3 linked regions of the Macaca fascicularis genome follow. The protein of the gene in region 2 interacts with the protein of the main gene of each other region in a biochemical or structural test. Links are inferred from orthologs where the notes say so. Each region holds a gene or a part of one and is shown on either strand. Other genes may lie near its edges.

Region 1 (5,365 bases), on a different chromosome or scaffold from region 2:
TGTTTGCTGGACACTCAGCCACGTGGCTGCCTGTTGAGCTCTGCCAGTCCACGTGGGAGCCAGGAATTTCTCCCCAGAAGCCTCTCCATTTTATTCACCAATGCCCAGTAAATCACAACCTGACTTGCTGCAGAGGATGGAGTGCCTGGGACCCGTCTGTCCCCAGCTTCCCTGGGGAAAAAGGGAGTGGCATGTCCCTGCTGCCTTCTGGGCTGCCTGTCCATGCAGAGCAGATAGGAAAGTCCAGTGAGGTCCCTGCCTGTGCACTCCACCAACCACATCATCCCTTCCCAGCAGCCTCACCTAGGCCCCTCCATCTGTGACCCCTTGTCCCCTGCACCGATGTCTGGCCTTGGAGGTTGCTGCTCATTTTTCTGGAATTTTCTTAGATCTCTGCAGGGCTGCCCCTCCCCCTACAAGGGCTCCACACGTGTTCCCTCCTTCATGACTCCCACTGGGCTTCCCTGACAGGGCCCCACCCTCCCCAAAGCTCTGGTGATACCTGCCAGGTTTCCTCCAGGCCACAGCTGGGCAGCCCGGTCTTAGAACAGAAAGTGGTACGCATGGCAGGCCCGACTGAGGGCCCAGCACTGTCAGTGGGGTCAGAGGTCTTCCCAGGCCTGGAAGGGCAGACATGGGCTTCTCAGGGCAGCCTAGGACGCGTCCTCACGAACCACAGCGAAACTAGAGCAGGTGTCTCTCGGATAGGAGTCTGCATCATTCCGTCTCCAGGCTGTGGTTTCTCAAATTATGCAACTATCTGATCATTCCAGTGTGCTCAGAGTAGCCACGCGCAGAGGCCCTTCCCACAACTCCCCACGGGGTGGATGGAAGCGTCCACTCGCGGCGCGAGGAATATCCCTGGGCCCCTCGGGAGAGTCTGCAGGGGCAGCCCCTGGGTGAGCAGGCCCGGTGCGGCCTCTCCCTGAAGGGACTTTCGGGCCCTCCCGGGTCGGGGCGTTTCCCGCAGCGGGCAGAAGCAGAGCTGGCTACAAACCCTACTCTTGTTAAAGGAGAAACGGGGTCGAGAAGGGGGTTCTCCAGCCCTGAACTTCCCGGGCCGGGAACAGCGCGCTGGGCCGGGCAGAACGCGGCCCCTCCCGGAGTCGGGGTCCCCCCCGGCTGGGGACGAACTGGGGCGGGCGCGCTTCTCCTCCCGGGGCCCCATGTGCGGCCGGCTCTTGGACGGTAAATCAGGGCTCGGGTGGGGGCGATGGGGGGAACCCGCGGCCTCGGTGCCCCTGGCCAGCCCCGGGGACAGCGGCACCGCAAGGACAAGTCTTCGGAGGCGCACGGGCCAGGCCGCGGGGCCAGAAGCGAGCGGGGGAGGGCGGCGGCTGGCGGGGCGGGAAGGGAGCGGGGCGGCCGCTGCGCGGAGGAGCGCCATTTACGTTCGGGTCCGTTCCGGGCGCTGACGTGGGCGACCCTGCCTCGGCTTCCGGGCCCGGCGCCGTCCCGCAGGGGGCCTCGGGGCGGGCGGCGCTCCTGCCAGCGGTGCTGAGCCCGGCCCGACCCTGCCCGCCTTCCTCCGGGACAGGCGGTTTAGAACGTGCGGAACACCGGGCCTCGGGCCTCCGCCGGGCTGCAGGCCCCGTGAGCTTCCCGCCAGGCTCCCGCCCCGCCCCGCAGCCGCGCCCGGCCGGGCGGGCCCTGAGCCGCCCGCGTGAGTCCGTGCGCCGCCCGCGCCGGGAACCAGGAGACCAACCGCGAGGCCCCGCCCGCGCGCGCCGCCGTGTCCCCGCCCGCGCGGTCGTCGGAGCGCGGCTCAGCGGCGCGGCGGAGGCTCGGCACGGCGGCGGCCAGGCGCAGGCGAGCGGGCGGAGCAGCGGACGGCACCGAGGCCGCCCCACGCGCCGGACTCGCGGCGGCGCAGCGCGCCGGAGTGGTCGGGGCCCGCGGCCGCTCGCGCCTCTCGATGGGCAGCTCGCACTTGCTCAACAAGGGCCTGCCGCTCGGTAAGGCCGCGCGCGCGCGCGTTTCCGGCCGCGGGCGGGGGCGGGGCGGGGCGGGGGCCGCGCGGGCGGGGGGCGCGGGGGCGGGCCGAGCGCGCGCCCGCGGGCCGCCGGCTTTGTGTGCGAGTGCGCGTGCGCGCCGTCGTCCGCGCGTGGCCGCGGTCGGGGGCGGGACCGCGGCAAGGGTCGTGCGCATGCGCGGGCCGCTGCGTGTGAGCGAGCGCCGCCGTGTGCACTCCCCGCCCGCGGCCCGCGCAGGTGACACAAAGGGGCCCGTGGGCCTCCAGGCTGCTCCACCGACCCCAGCCCCATGGGACCCGGGACGGCACCCCGAGTCCCGAGTCCCGATCCCCGGCCGCTACCCCGTCCCCGGTCACGACCCCGCGGCTGGGCCTGCGGGACCGGGGTGGGAGCTGCGCCGTGCGCAGCTACGGGTGTCCTGGGGAGCGCGCTCCCGGGCCACTCGCGGGAGCGCGCCCCCTCCCGCCCTGAGGCTGCCGGCGACCGCGGCCGCGCGCTGTGGGGGAAGGGGACGGGGCCTGGGCGCCGGGTCTGACCGTGGAGGAGGCCGCCGCCCTCAGACCGGGCCCAAAGCGCAGCCCCCGGCGGTGACGCGGGCGGTCCCCGGGGGTCTCCGCTCCCGCGAACTCCGCGAGGGCCCGGCCCGGCCCGGCGCCTCCACCTGCCTCTGCCTGTGCCGGCCCGGGTCCCGGGGCGCCTTCCTCGCCGGCTGCGGCCCCGGAAGCAGGGAGCACGGGCGGACGCCGGGCGCACGGCCATCGCCATCTTGCAGCGCCCGCATCCTGGGCCGGCCCGGGCCGCTCCGCGGAGCCTCTCTCTCCCTCGACACGGCTGCAAAGGCAGAGCCCGCGCGCTTGATCCCCGGGCCAAAGCTGGAGCGTTCTCTGGCGGCCTCCAAGGGCATCGGTGTCCAGAAGCCCGGCCGGGGCCAGAGCCCTTTTGCTGTAGTCTCCGCGATTGCCGGGACAGAATTCCCTTCCAGTGGGGAAAAGGGAAGGCGGTCGCGCCCTTCCCGGTGCCCTGAGTGGGGAGGTGAAACCCTGAGAGTTGGGGCTAGAGGGCCCGGAGCCAGGGCCGAGGCGGCGGGTGCGCAGGGTGCTCCGTGGAGCCCGAGCACCCCCAGCCAAGTCCTCTCCACCGTTTCTGTAGGAGCTCGGCAGGGAGCACAAGTCCGTCGGGAAGAAAACGGCGCTGGTGGCTGGGCCCGCGCCGCGGGCGTCCTCGCTGAGCTCCTAGCGCATGGCCTGTGCGCGTCTGTGTACCCGTCTGCGGCTTGGGGCAGGGTTGGGGCAGCACCGTGGGGTAACTATTTGCCGTTGCAGCTGAGGATGACAGCTGCGGTTTGGGGGTCTCTCGTTCTGTGTCCTGGAACTTTGTAGGGCGTGGCTCTGCCCTGGGCCTCAGCACCAGGTCTCCCCTGCCCGCCCAGGCCTGGCCACCTCCCTCTGGGGTCTGGGTTTGGCTCCTGGTTGGCACTGTCAGCTCTGCAGACGCGTTTTGCCCTCTGTGATTCTGTCGCCCATCTTTGAGCACCTGCTTCCATGCTGGCGTCCTCTGCAGAACTCTGGGAGGGACATGCAGTGGGGGCTGCATCTGCTCACTGCCCGGGGTGCCTTGTCCACCTGCCTGGCCGTTTTTGAGGTGTCTGCCATGTCCGCAGCATGTACTTCGTCCTGTCAGCCTTGACCAGGGCAGCTGTTAGTTCTGAGAGGTGGACATGTGGTTGGGAATGTCAGTGAGTAGGATCTTCCCTTTTGCACACTTGTCATTAACCTGAGAACATGGCAGTGGGGGAGGGGAGGTTTGGCCCCGGGTGCACGGGACTGTGGGCTGGTCCTGTCCGTCTGCTGAGTGGGATGGGCCTTGGCCCAGTCCTGTGGGCTTGGCGCAGAACCGACCCCAGCCACATCCTGGGGAGATTGGAGGTGCTGGCTGGTCCTGTCTGCCTCCTCCAAGGGCTGGGAGCCCCCCACTCTTTGGACGTTTGTAGTGTAAGGTTCCATTATCCAGCAGACAGCCACTGTTAACAGTCACTCTGTTAATAAGTTTTTTCTGGAGGAACCCTGGACAGAAGTAGTCACGCTCTGCAGGAAACGGGTCCCAGGCTCGAGAGGCCTAGTCTCTTCCTTTGGAGCTCAGAGGTGGCTGTTCAGCCACACCTGGCTCGCCTGGCAGTTTTTCTCCTCTGACTGTAACTAGCCCTTTCAACTTCCTGTGGCCACTGCCCCCAGAGTGTGACCTGGTCTGAGCTGATGGTGGCGTCCCTGAGCCAAGAGGCGTACGGCTGGTACCACTAGTGTTGCTGAGAACCCTTCAGGCAGCGTTCTGTGCCTGGCTGTGCCCTGGCGCTCCCCACGCAGTGCCCAAGTCAAAGGCGTGTGCCCTGTGAGGTGTTTACCCGAGTGACTCTCCTTCCAGAAGGACTTCTTGTTTTCCCCTCCACTCAGGGCTGGAGAGGGCTCCGTACGGGTGGTGCTGACGGTGCAGGCCTGGCTCAGGGCCCAGGGGTGGCCAGGAGGTGGTGGAGGCAGCAGGTGGTGTCCTCCGGGTTCTGTGGTTGAACTGCATCGCCTGAGGGAACGCTGGTCAGAGTACCGGGGTCCTCTGGTGGTCGCTGGATTTTGGTAGTTGTGGGTAGGAGCTCTGTGCTGGGAGTGTCTGGCCCCCCAGGTCCTCCATTGTCGGCTGCAGTGGCCAGGGCCCACTACTCTCCCCCACACTGGGTGGGGGTAACCCACAAGATGCCACCTGCATCACTGACCGTCCCTTCCAGAAGCCCGTCCAGCCACACACTCCATGTGGTATCTCCCACGAGGAAACGTTCAGTTTTTTCCTGTAAAGTCAGAAATCTCTTGGGTGGCCTTTTGTCAAGCCAAACATTAACCTTGAGTTGTCTCTCTGGGTGGCCAGGCGGTGCCAGTTCTTATGTGCGTTGAAGGAAGAGTGAGGATGGCCCTGAGGGAAGCCCAGTTGGTTTGGATGGGGAGGAGTTGGGGCTACGGCCCTGAGAGAGGTGTGGGTGGTGTTGGGACCAGGCCCCTTCTGCACCCTCCCCTGGCACCGCCATCAACTCCCCAGGCCTAGTGTGGCCCATGCCACCCTGCCCACCCATGCCACCCTGCCCGCCCATGCCACCCTGCCCCGCCACCCGTGTCACCCTGCCCACCCGTGTCACCCTGACCTGCCACCCATCTGTGGTGTGAGGGCTGCTGGGCTGCCCTGTCTGCATGGCTGGCGTGAGCCTCAGAGGCGTCTGAGGCTGCCTCTCGAGTGGTGTCATGTGTAGAGTGTCCTGTTGAGAAGGAGAGGAAGGGTGTAGCCCTGATACCCCACGCGTGGTAGGAGCCGGGAAGGTGGTGTTCTGGGGGTCCTGGAGCTCACAGGGCATGTGC
Region 2 (4,879 bases):
TTGGTTTCTGTAAATGGCATTGCTTCTTTGAAGCTGAAGGAGTCAAGAAAATACTTAGACCAGCACTGTTCAATACAGGAGCCACTGGCCACATGTGCCTATCAAGCACTTGAAAGGCAGCTTGTCTAAATTGAGATGTGTTGTAAATGTAAAATACATACTTGGTTTCAAAGATTTAGTACAAGGCTGGGCATGGTTGCTCACGTTTGTAATTCCAGCACTTTGGGAGACCAGGGAGGGCAGATCACCTGAGGTCAGGAGTTCAAGACAAGCCTGGCCAACATGGTGAAACCCCATCTCTACTAAAAATACAAAAATTGGCCGGGCATGGTGGCACATGCCTGTAGTTCCCAACCACTCGGGAGGCTGAGTTGGGAGAATCACTTGAATCCGTGAGGCAGAGGTTGCAGTCAAGATCATGCCACTGCACTCCAGCCTGGGAAACAGAGTGTGAGCCTGTCTCAAAAAAAAAAAAAAAAAAAAGGCCGGGCACAGTGGCTCACACCTGTAATCCCAGCACTTTGGGAGGCCGAGGCGGGTGGATCATGAGGTCAGGAGATCGAGAGCATCCTGGCCAACACGGTGAAACCCCGTCTCCACTAAAAACAAAAAAAATCAGCCGGGCATGGTGGCAGGCGCCTGTAGTCCCAGCTACTCAAGAGACTGAGGCAGGAGAATGGTGTGAACCTGGGAGGCGGAGCTTGCAGTGAGCCGAGATGGAGCCACTACACTCCTGCCTGGGCGACAGAGTGAGACTCCTCAAAAAAAAAAAAAAAAAAAGACAATACAGAACAAAGAATGTAATGTAAAAGGTCTCCATAACTCTTCGTGATGCTGAATGCCTGTTGCAGTTATTATAACACTTTGGATATATGGGTAAAATAAAATATATTTCCAAAATTAATCTCACTGGATTCCACTTGCTTTTCTTAAAAAAAAATACAACTACTAGAAAATTTAAAAGCACATATATGTGTGCTTTTATAACCTCATATTTGCAGGTTGCTTTATATTTCTATTGGACACATTGCTTTAGACCTTCCAATAATTCTTCTCAGCAGCCATCTTAATCCTGAGCTGCTAATCTTTAGTCTGCCCATGAAAATCCTAAATGAATAACAAAGTTTTTTTTTTTTTTTTTTTTTTTTTGAGATGGAGTTTCACTCTCCGCTGCCCAGGCTGGAGTGCAGTGGTGTGATCTCAGTTCACTGCAACCTCTGCCTCCCGGGTTCAAGCGATCTTCCTGTCTCAGCCTCCCAAGCAGCTAGGATTACAGGCATGTGCCACCACGCCCAGTTAATTTTGTGTTTTTAGTGGAGATGGGGTTTTACCACATTGGTCAGGCTGGTCTCAAACTCCTGATCTCAGGAGATCCACCTACCTCAGCCTCCCAAAGTGCTGGGATTACAGGTGTGAGCCACTGCGCCCAGCCCTAAGTGAATAACGTTCTAAGGACACGTTTTCTGGTTCCCTTTTCTTAAAAGCAAGAAAGTAGAACAGGACAAGGTCTAGATGAGAGCTCTTTCTGTCAATTCAGAGTCTAGTTTATTCTTGCCAGATTGCGGCACCAACTGCAATACCAATAAAACATGGACACAATTCCCGGAAAGGAAGGGACCCAGGCCAAAGACAACTGGGAAGGTAAATTAGCAACATAAAAAACAAAACAAACCAAAACAAAAAGACACTCCAACACACGCCAAACCCTACAGAATAACTTCTGAAATTTATTCATAAATTTACATGACTTCCCTTATAGAATTTCATGACTTCCCTTAAAGAATTTCTTTAGTCCTTGTCTTCCCTTAGGGACAAGGTCACAAGAAATCTTTCTGAAGTGTAAGCTGCCTGAATCATCTTTCTAATCCACATTAACCATATCCTTTCCAGTAGTGCAGTGTCACTAATTGTGATTACGTGTTTGTGTGTGTGTGGGTGTGGAAATTAACAATGAACACTGAGATTTATTTTCAAATATCCCTTCATTTGCTATAGATAGTTGAGTGACACATGGAACTTGCAGAGTATCCTGCTACCTTGCCCCAAAGTCCAATAAAGCCTTGGTACAACCCTATTTGTTGGTAGGTGAAACCATTTACTCTTCTCACACACATACACATACACTCACAGTGAGATAGAGGTCCCCAACCCCTAGACCATTACCAGTCCGTGGCCTGTACATAGGGGCAGGAGGTGAACGGCAGGGAAGTGAGCATTACCGCCTGAGCTCTGCCTCCTGTCAGATCAGTGGTGGCACCAGACTCTGACAGGAGTGCAAATCCTATTGTGAACTGTGCATGCAAGGGATCTAGGTTGCATGCTCCTTATGAGAATCTAACTAATGCCTGATGATCTGAGATGGAACAGTTTCATCCCAAAACCATACCCCCAGTCTGGCCCGTGGAAAAATTGTCTTCCATGATACCAGTCCCTGGTGCCAAAACGGTTGGGGACCGTTGGAGTGAGAGGACTATTCCCAGAAAGTCCTTAACTCCACTTTGAACCTCCTCTGGACATGGCACAGAGAGATCTTCCCAAGCTCTGCAGGCCTTAGTGAGAAGCTCCACATTCTGCTTTTCTTCTAAGACCTTGGGTTACCCTTACCTTGACTTGCTCGTTGGAGGTTACAGCACAGAAGACAATCTCTGTGAATCCTTGAGATGGGAACATACGGAAACAGATACCACCAATAACACGGCCATCTTTAATTAAAGCAAGGGTTTTGTGTTTCCTGAAAGAATAAGATTATGTCAAAGTTTTACCTACCCTAGTTATACAAATATACTTTTTGGGGTGTTCCTTATTAACCAACTAAGAAAGAGGGACATGTCCTAAGTTTCTATAGAAACTTCCTTCATGTAACCCCTATCTCACTAGACTACCCTTTTATCTGAACTTTTTAGAGCAAGCTTGACTGCATAAGACGTCATCAGCACTCCCATCAGAACAAAGTACCAGTCACCTAAGAAGTGCCTGAGGTTTAAAATAGAGAACAGTGTATGTGCGGAGGTGCTCTGGAACTGGCACACCCAGTGCCAAGGAGGGGTCAGGGGAGAGCAGGAAGTCATGGACAAACATGATATGTGTCTCTGAAGAGTTAAGTCTTACTCCAAAATATTACAGAAACATTATGAAAAAGAATTTAAAATCTACATATACAATTTGTGAAACTTTGCATTATGGAATCCTTCCCTCTGTCTAAAGCATCACTCTGAATTGTCACAGGCATGGATCACAGTCCCCAGAGGCTACTGGGCTATATATGTTAAAATAAATTCAATTAGGGAAGTTTAGTTCTTTGGGGTTTTGTGGGGGTTTTTTTTGTTTTGTTTTGTTTTTTAAAGCAATGGATTTTCAAAGTTAACCCATCTTATATCCCAATAATTGCCCACAGACCTGGGCACCTAGTTAAGATACCAAAACCAATATTTTGACTACGAAAAAAGTAGAACATCTTAGTGTTACATTCTCTCACTGCTATAAAGAATGAAGCACAGGATAGTCAACAGCGATGTAAAATACAAAGTTTCATTATCATTAACAAGAAAATTTGTATATTGTTTAAAATTAATCTTAGCACTTTCAGACATGAAAATTAGCTTGGTGTAGCTCTGTATCCACAGCAAGACAGGAGCAGTGGTATTCGGTGGATGACTATGGCTGACTTTCACTATCTAAGTAGTTCCTCTTTCATTTAAAAAGGAAATAAGGAAGAAGGAACAGAAAGTACCACTTACGGGTCAAAGACGAGCCGTGTGATGTACTCTTTTGGCATTCGGGGCAGCTGGTGGGAGAAAACGTTCTGTAGGCCAACCAGCCACATGAGGATCTTCTTGTTTGGTTTCTGGTTGAGGGAATTGCCAACGACGTGAAATTCAATTACACCCCTGCGCTCTTCCAACCTTGCCGCCTCATCCCTAGCCGAGTGTGCCGACAGAAAATTGGTCTGAGATGCAAGAGACAGGAAAAAATTACACAGAGCTATTCTCTCAAGACAGTGGGGATGGGACACATCCAAGCTTCTCATTTTTGTTCTAAGAAGATACACATTTGTGGATTTTCAGAGTCCTAAATTCACACATGTGTGCACACATACACACAGAGACACATACACATACAAGTTATGAAGACAAGACAGAAAAGGCAGGTAAAGCATTTTGAGAAATTGGAGTATTGTATGTGTACACGGATGATATTCAGTGTAGATTAGGGGCCAGCAAAATTTTCTGTGAAGGGCCAGATAGAAAATATTTTAGACATTGTGAGCCATAAGGTCTTTGTCACAACTACTCCTTCTTCTGCTGTAATGCAAAAGCATCCACAGACAATATGTTAAAGAATGGGTGCAGTACTGTTCCAATAAAACTTTGTTTAAAAATACAGTAAGCAGACAAAATGTGGCCTGTGGGTTATTGTTCGCCAACCTCTGGCTTAAAGGAATCCTCTCCAGCTGAGCTTTAAGGACCCTTGAGATGACAGATTCAAATTCTCATTACAGGCCCAATAGTAGCACTCATGAATATACTTTTAACACCTCTTTTTAAAGAACAGGGTTTTTTCCAGAGAATATCTGTTGACTTACACTCAACCATAGCTGGAAGCACAACCACGTGCCAGCACTTATGCTCCCTATCTTATTTAATCTGCCCAGTGGTTTGCAAGCAAATACTCCACAAACAGCTCTTCAGGTAAGGAAGGCCCTAAATGGTGACACTTCATCTCATTAGTCCAGAACTGGCTATCCAGGTACCAGGTGCCATGGTGGTCAATTTCAAGCTACCAACATATGGAACAACCAGCTCACAAAATTCCTAAAAATTTAACAATTTTCTTTGCATTCCAGTACAAGCCAGCTCCAGTATACTACTAAATATTAATA
Region 3 (3,712 bases), on a different chromosome or scaffold from region 2:
TTTAGGCTATTTTCTTGAACAGCCATTTAGAAAGCAGATCTATCATCCTTTATTTGCATGGAGCGTTCCCATTTTATTTGAAGCCAGTTTAACCCAATGGAAACAAGGGAGGCAGAACCCATTATTTAAAGTGGAAGCTCCTGAATCAGATAATTCGGAGTATTTCCTTTTTAAAAGTTGCGTTTTTTTCAGATACCTCGCTTATTACATTAAGAAAGGTTTATATCTTTCATAAAGGGTTTACTTACAAAAACCTTCCAATTTTATATACCTGTGTTTCATAACTGACTAGCCGTCAAACCAAGATGTATAGTTTCCAAATGTTATTTTCCAAATTTTAAGAAATTACGTGAAATATTTGAATGCGTGGCTTCTCAATAAAATAGACGTAGGAAACACTGGTAAAGAAGATGGGTACAATAGTTATCTGGGACTACTACAATTATTTGGTTGACACGTTGTTTGAAGAAAAAGGGAAAAAGCTCAGGTTACTTAGCACAGTTCGGACTTATTTAAAAACTACAACAGCACGAACGGAAATAGACCGCATTCCCTCACTCTCCGCTGTGTTAAGGGGTTATCCAGAATAGGATTGTAGAAGTGGATGTCGATTTAATAGTTTTTTTGTTCTCCCGTTAGCTGAGTCTCTGATTGGCAATGTGAGATCGTTTTAGCTTATTGATAATTTGAAATGCTCTTAACAGCCACAAACAAGCTAAAGAGAGGTTACCATAAAATCTTATCCCCAGGGTGTGCTTACACTTACCGTTTGTTTTCACACTAAGGAGACTTAACTCCCCAGCAGAATGCCTGTCGGGGAACCAGTTTCTTGGACCCAGCATTTAACGCCTTTCGCAGGTTTGTGAGGCCCATAAATCTTTGTTGAATAAAACAATGAGTTCACCATGTCATGGTGCGCTCATTGCATGTGCTGACATGGAACACAGGTTGTAAACCTTAACACCCATTTGGGGCATGTTGTATGGATGAAAAGGGCATTGGAAATTCCTGAAGTGCATCCCACATTGGACTGTGGAAGTAAGTTGCAAGTGCAGAAACGTTTCCACACTTGCAGTTTGAGTATTAATTGCAGCGTTAGTGAATTCTGGTGTTGTCTACGATTCATTCTTCTTTGACGTGAAAGGTATTCGCGAGACACATCGCTCTAAAACATTGCCAGAAAATGTAATCGAGTTGATGACTACTAGCCCTAACACGGCCTAAAACCCGCACTTTCCTCTTCCTCCCCAACTATTCAAACACTGTATTTTACATTTCTTGCAAATTAAAAACTAACATATCTGGCAACGGACCTCTAAAACTTTCTAATAAAACTCCCTGGATGCTTGTGGGGCTGCATTTGCAAACCGCTCCCCATCAACCTACTCCCTAAAACAGAGCTGCTTTTTGAGAGACAAGCGGCACCCTCTGATGTTACTAGGTGGCAGTCGGCCTACAATTTCCTTCACAATGAGGCAATCGGAGCGGCTTTTTCGGTGTGTTTGCTTGCGTTGAGGGGAGCGGGACCATAGGCCCTAGAGGCCCCCAGGTGCTCTCTGAGACTGGGGGAAACCCTCTGCAGAGCGCAGGGGGCGCTAGGGTGCGAGGGGCGGGCACTGACGGGCACCAATCACTGCGCAGTCCCACCCTATAAATAGGCTGAGTCGGGGCCTTTTTTTTCTCGCATCCTGCTTGGTCAGGTTTATACCAGTTTACTTGGTGTGCTGTATTAGTCACCATGTCCGAAACGGCGCCTCCCGCTCCCGCCGCTTCTGCTGCTCCTGAGAAACCTTCAGCTAGCAGGAAGGCAAAGAAACCTGCTAAGGTTGCGGTGGCCACTAAGAAAAAGCCTGCTGGCCCTTCCGTGTCAGAGCTGATCGTGCAGGCTGCTTCCTCCTCTAAGGAGCGTGGTGGTGTGTCATTGGCTGCTCTTAAAAAGGCGCTGGCGGCCGCAGGCTACGATGTGGAGAAGAACAACAGCCGCATTAAGCTGGGTATTAAGAGCCTGGTAAGCAAGGGAACGTTGGTGCAGACGAAGGGCACCGGCGCCTCGGGTTCCTTCAAACTCAACAAGAAGGCATCCTCCGTGGAAACCAAGCCCGGCGCTTCAAGGGTGGCTGCAAAAACCAAGGCAACGGGTGCGTCTAAAAAGCCCAAAAAGGCCACGGGGGTTAGCAAAAAGAACGTCAAGACTCCAAAAAATGCTAAAAAGTCTGCGGCAACAAGGAAATCCTCTAAGAGTCCCAAAAAACCCAAAGCTGTAAAACCCAAGAAAGTAGCTAAAAGCCCTGCTAAAACTAAGGCTATAAAACCCAAGGCGGCCAAGGCTAAGGTGACGAAGCCAAAGACTGCCAAACCCAAGAAAGCGGCACCCAAGAAAAAGTAAATTCGGTTGGAAACTTCTACTAACCCAACGGCTCTTTTAAGAGCCACCTACACACTTCGGGAAAAGAGCTGTAGTACACAGATGAAATTCCCCCAAGCAAATGCAATACGCCCTCATTTATATTAGAATCACTTGGAGAGTCAATAGGAACTTTAACATAGGTTGAGTAGTAAATTCTTGCCAGATGAGGCTATCAAAGATAGCAAGGTGAATTCAAATGCACCGAGTTAAAGTCGAATTTTAGATCACCTGTTTTGCTTTTTTTTTTTTTTTTAAGTAGCCCGAAGTCCCGCATCTCACGACCCCAAGCTAATTAGTCATAACTGTAACGAACCAAGGTTGAAGCCTAGTCCCAGGCTTGAGGCTTTTTTATTATACAAGGTTAAAGTGCGGACATTGCGTTCTTGGGTCAATATTGCTAAAGTAGCCTTTTCCGAAATTGGGTGGTCCTAAGAAATGCTTCTGGGATAGTAAGCAAAATTCATGGCTTAATCACGCCCTCTCGGCAGCAGTGGCTAGAGAGGTGTCTGTCCTTGGGAATGACGGTGACCCTTCTGGCGTGACTGGCGCCCACGTTGGCGTCCTCTGAAAGCCCCACCAGGTAGGCCTAGCTCGCTCGCTTTCTGCAGCGCCATCATGACAAAGCTTTGAAACGCAAAATGCTCTTGCTTTGCGCAGCGCTTTACCATGGGTGCACTTACAGGCTGTCGACTTGGTTTAGGCCCTCATCAGGACAAAGGAGCTTAGTTGCAATGGAGTTTTAGAGCTGCAACTCTAAAGCCCTTGCTCGGTTTCTCTGTTTTTAGAAACAGTAGCGACCTGATTGGATAATATTTGAAAATTACTATGCTTAACTGGATCGTGTTTCATCAATCGTGCAGGATTTTCAACCCTGGTGGAGCCCACACATTCAATACTGAAGATCCTTTTCTCAGAACTGCCCCTTTAAGCTTTTGCAATTTTAATTCTGGGGTTCAATTTTAATAACTGAACTTTTTTTTACATCTGACAAAAAGAGTATATGATGAGCCAAGTTTACTCAGTGCAGCTCAATTCTAAAAGTTTATTTTTGCGTGTGTGCATATGAGTTAATAATTAGTTGTATTTTTCAAACGGTCGGTCTTTTTTCAATTGTTTTGCTTAGCTCCTTCCATCGTCTAAAGTCAGGGATACAGGCACATCACATCCCTGTTCCCCCTTCCTCAAACTAATATGTAGCTACCTGTTTTTCTTTAAAAAAAATAAAAAAAAAATTCTCACCTATTTCTGTGAGAAATATACATGTTTTTCTTTGAACTAAGTATTTTACATACACCTATCTATATA

The links.
Region 1: the proteins of KAT2B (region 2) and CTBP1 form a complex in vitro, tested with the Homo sapiens proteins (2 studies listed by BioGRID, with this or other methods). The link is inferred for Macaca fascicularis from reciprocal best matches to the Homo sapiens genes KAT2B and CTBP1.
Region 3: of the proteins of KAT2B (region 2) and H1-1, one has a biochemical effect on the other in vitro, tested with the Homo sapiens proteins (2 studies listed by BioGRID). The link is inferred for Macaca fascicularis from reciprocal best matches to the Homo sapiens genes KAT2B and H1-1.

The regions. Positions count from the first base shown.
Region 1 is NC_088379.1:1,342,519-1,347,883, reverse strand, and holds the start of CTBP1 (C-terminal-binding protein 1), read left to right. Parts: upstream 1-1,740; 5' UTR 1,741-1,915; coding exon 1,916-1,955; intron 1,956-2,140; exon of another isoform or gene 2,141-3,275; intron 3,276-5,365. UniProt on the Homo sapiens protein: Corepressor targeting diverse transcription regulators such as GLIS2 or BCL6. Has dehydrogenase activity. Involved in controlling the equilibrium between tubular and stacked structures in the Golgi complex.
Region 2 is NC_088376.1:28,300,347-28,305,225, forward strand, and holds part of KAT2B (histone acetyltransferase KAT2B), read right to left. Parts: intron 3,947-4,879; coding exon 3,738-3,946; intron 2,732-3,737; coding exon 2,605-2,731; intron 1-2,604. UniProt on the Homo sapiens protein: Functions as a histone acetyltransferase (HAT) to promote transcriptional activation. Has significant histone acetyltransferase activity with core histones (H3 and H4), and also with nucleosome core particles.
Region 3 is NC_088378.1:146,911,759-146,915,470, forward strand, and holds H1-1 (histone H1.1), read left to right. Parts: upstream 1-1,680; 5' UTR 1,681-1,738; coding exon 1,739-2,386; 3' UTR 2,387-2,387; downstream 2,388-3,712. UniProt on the Homo sapiens protein: Histone H1 protein binds to linker DNA between nucleosomes forming the macromolecular structure known as the chromatin fiber. Histones H1 are necessary for the condensation of nucleosome chains into higher-order structured fibers.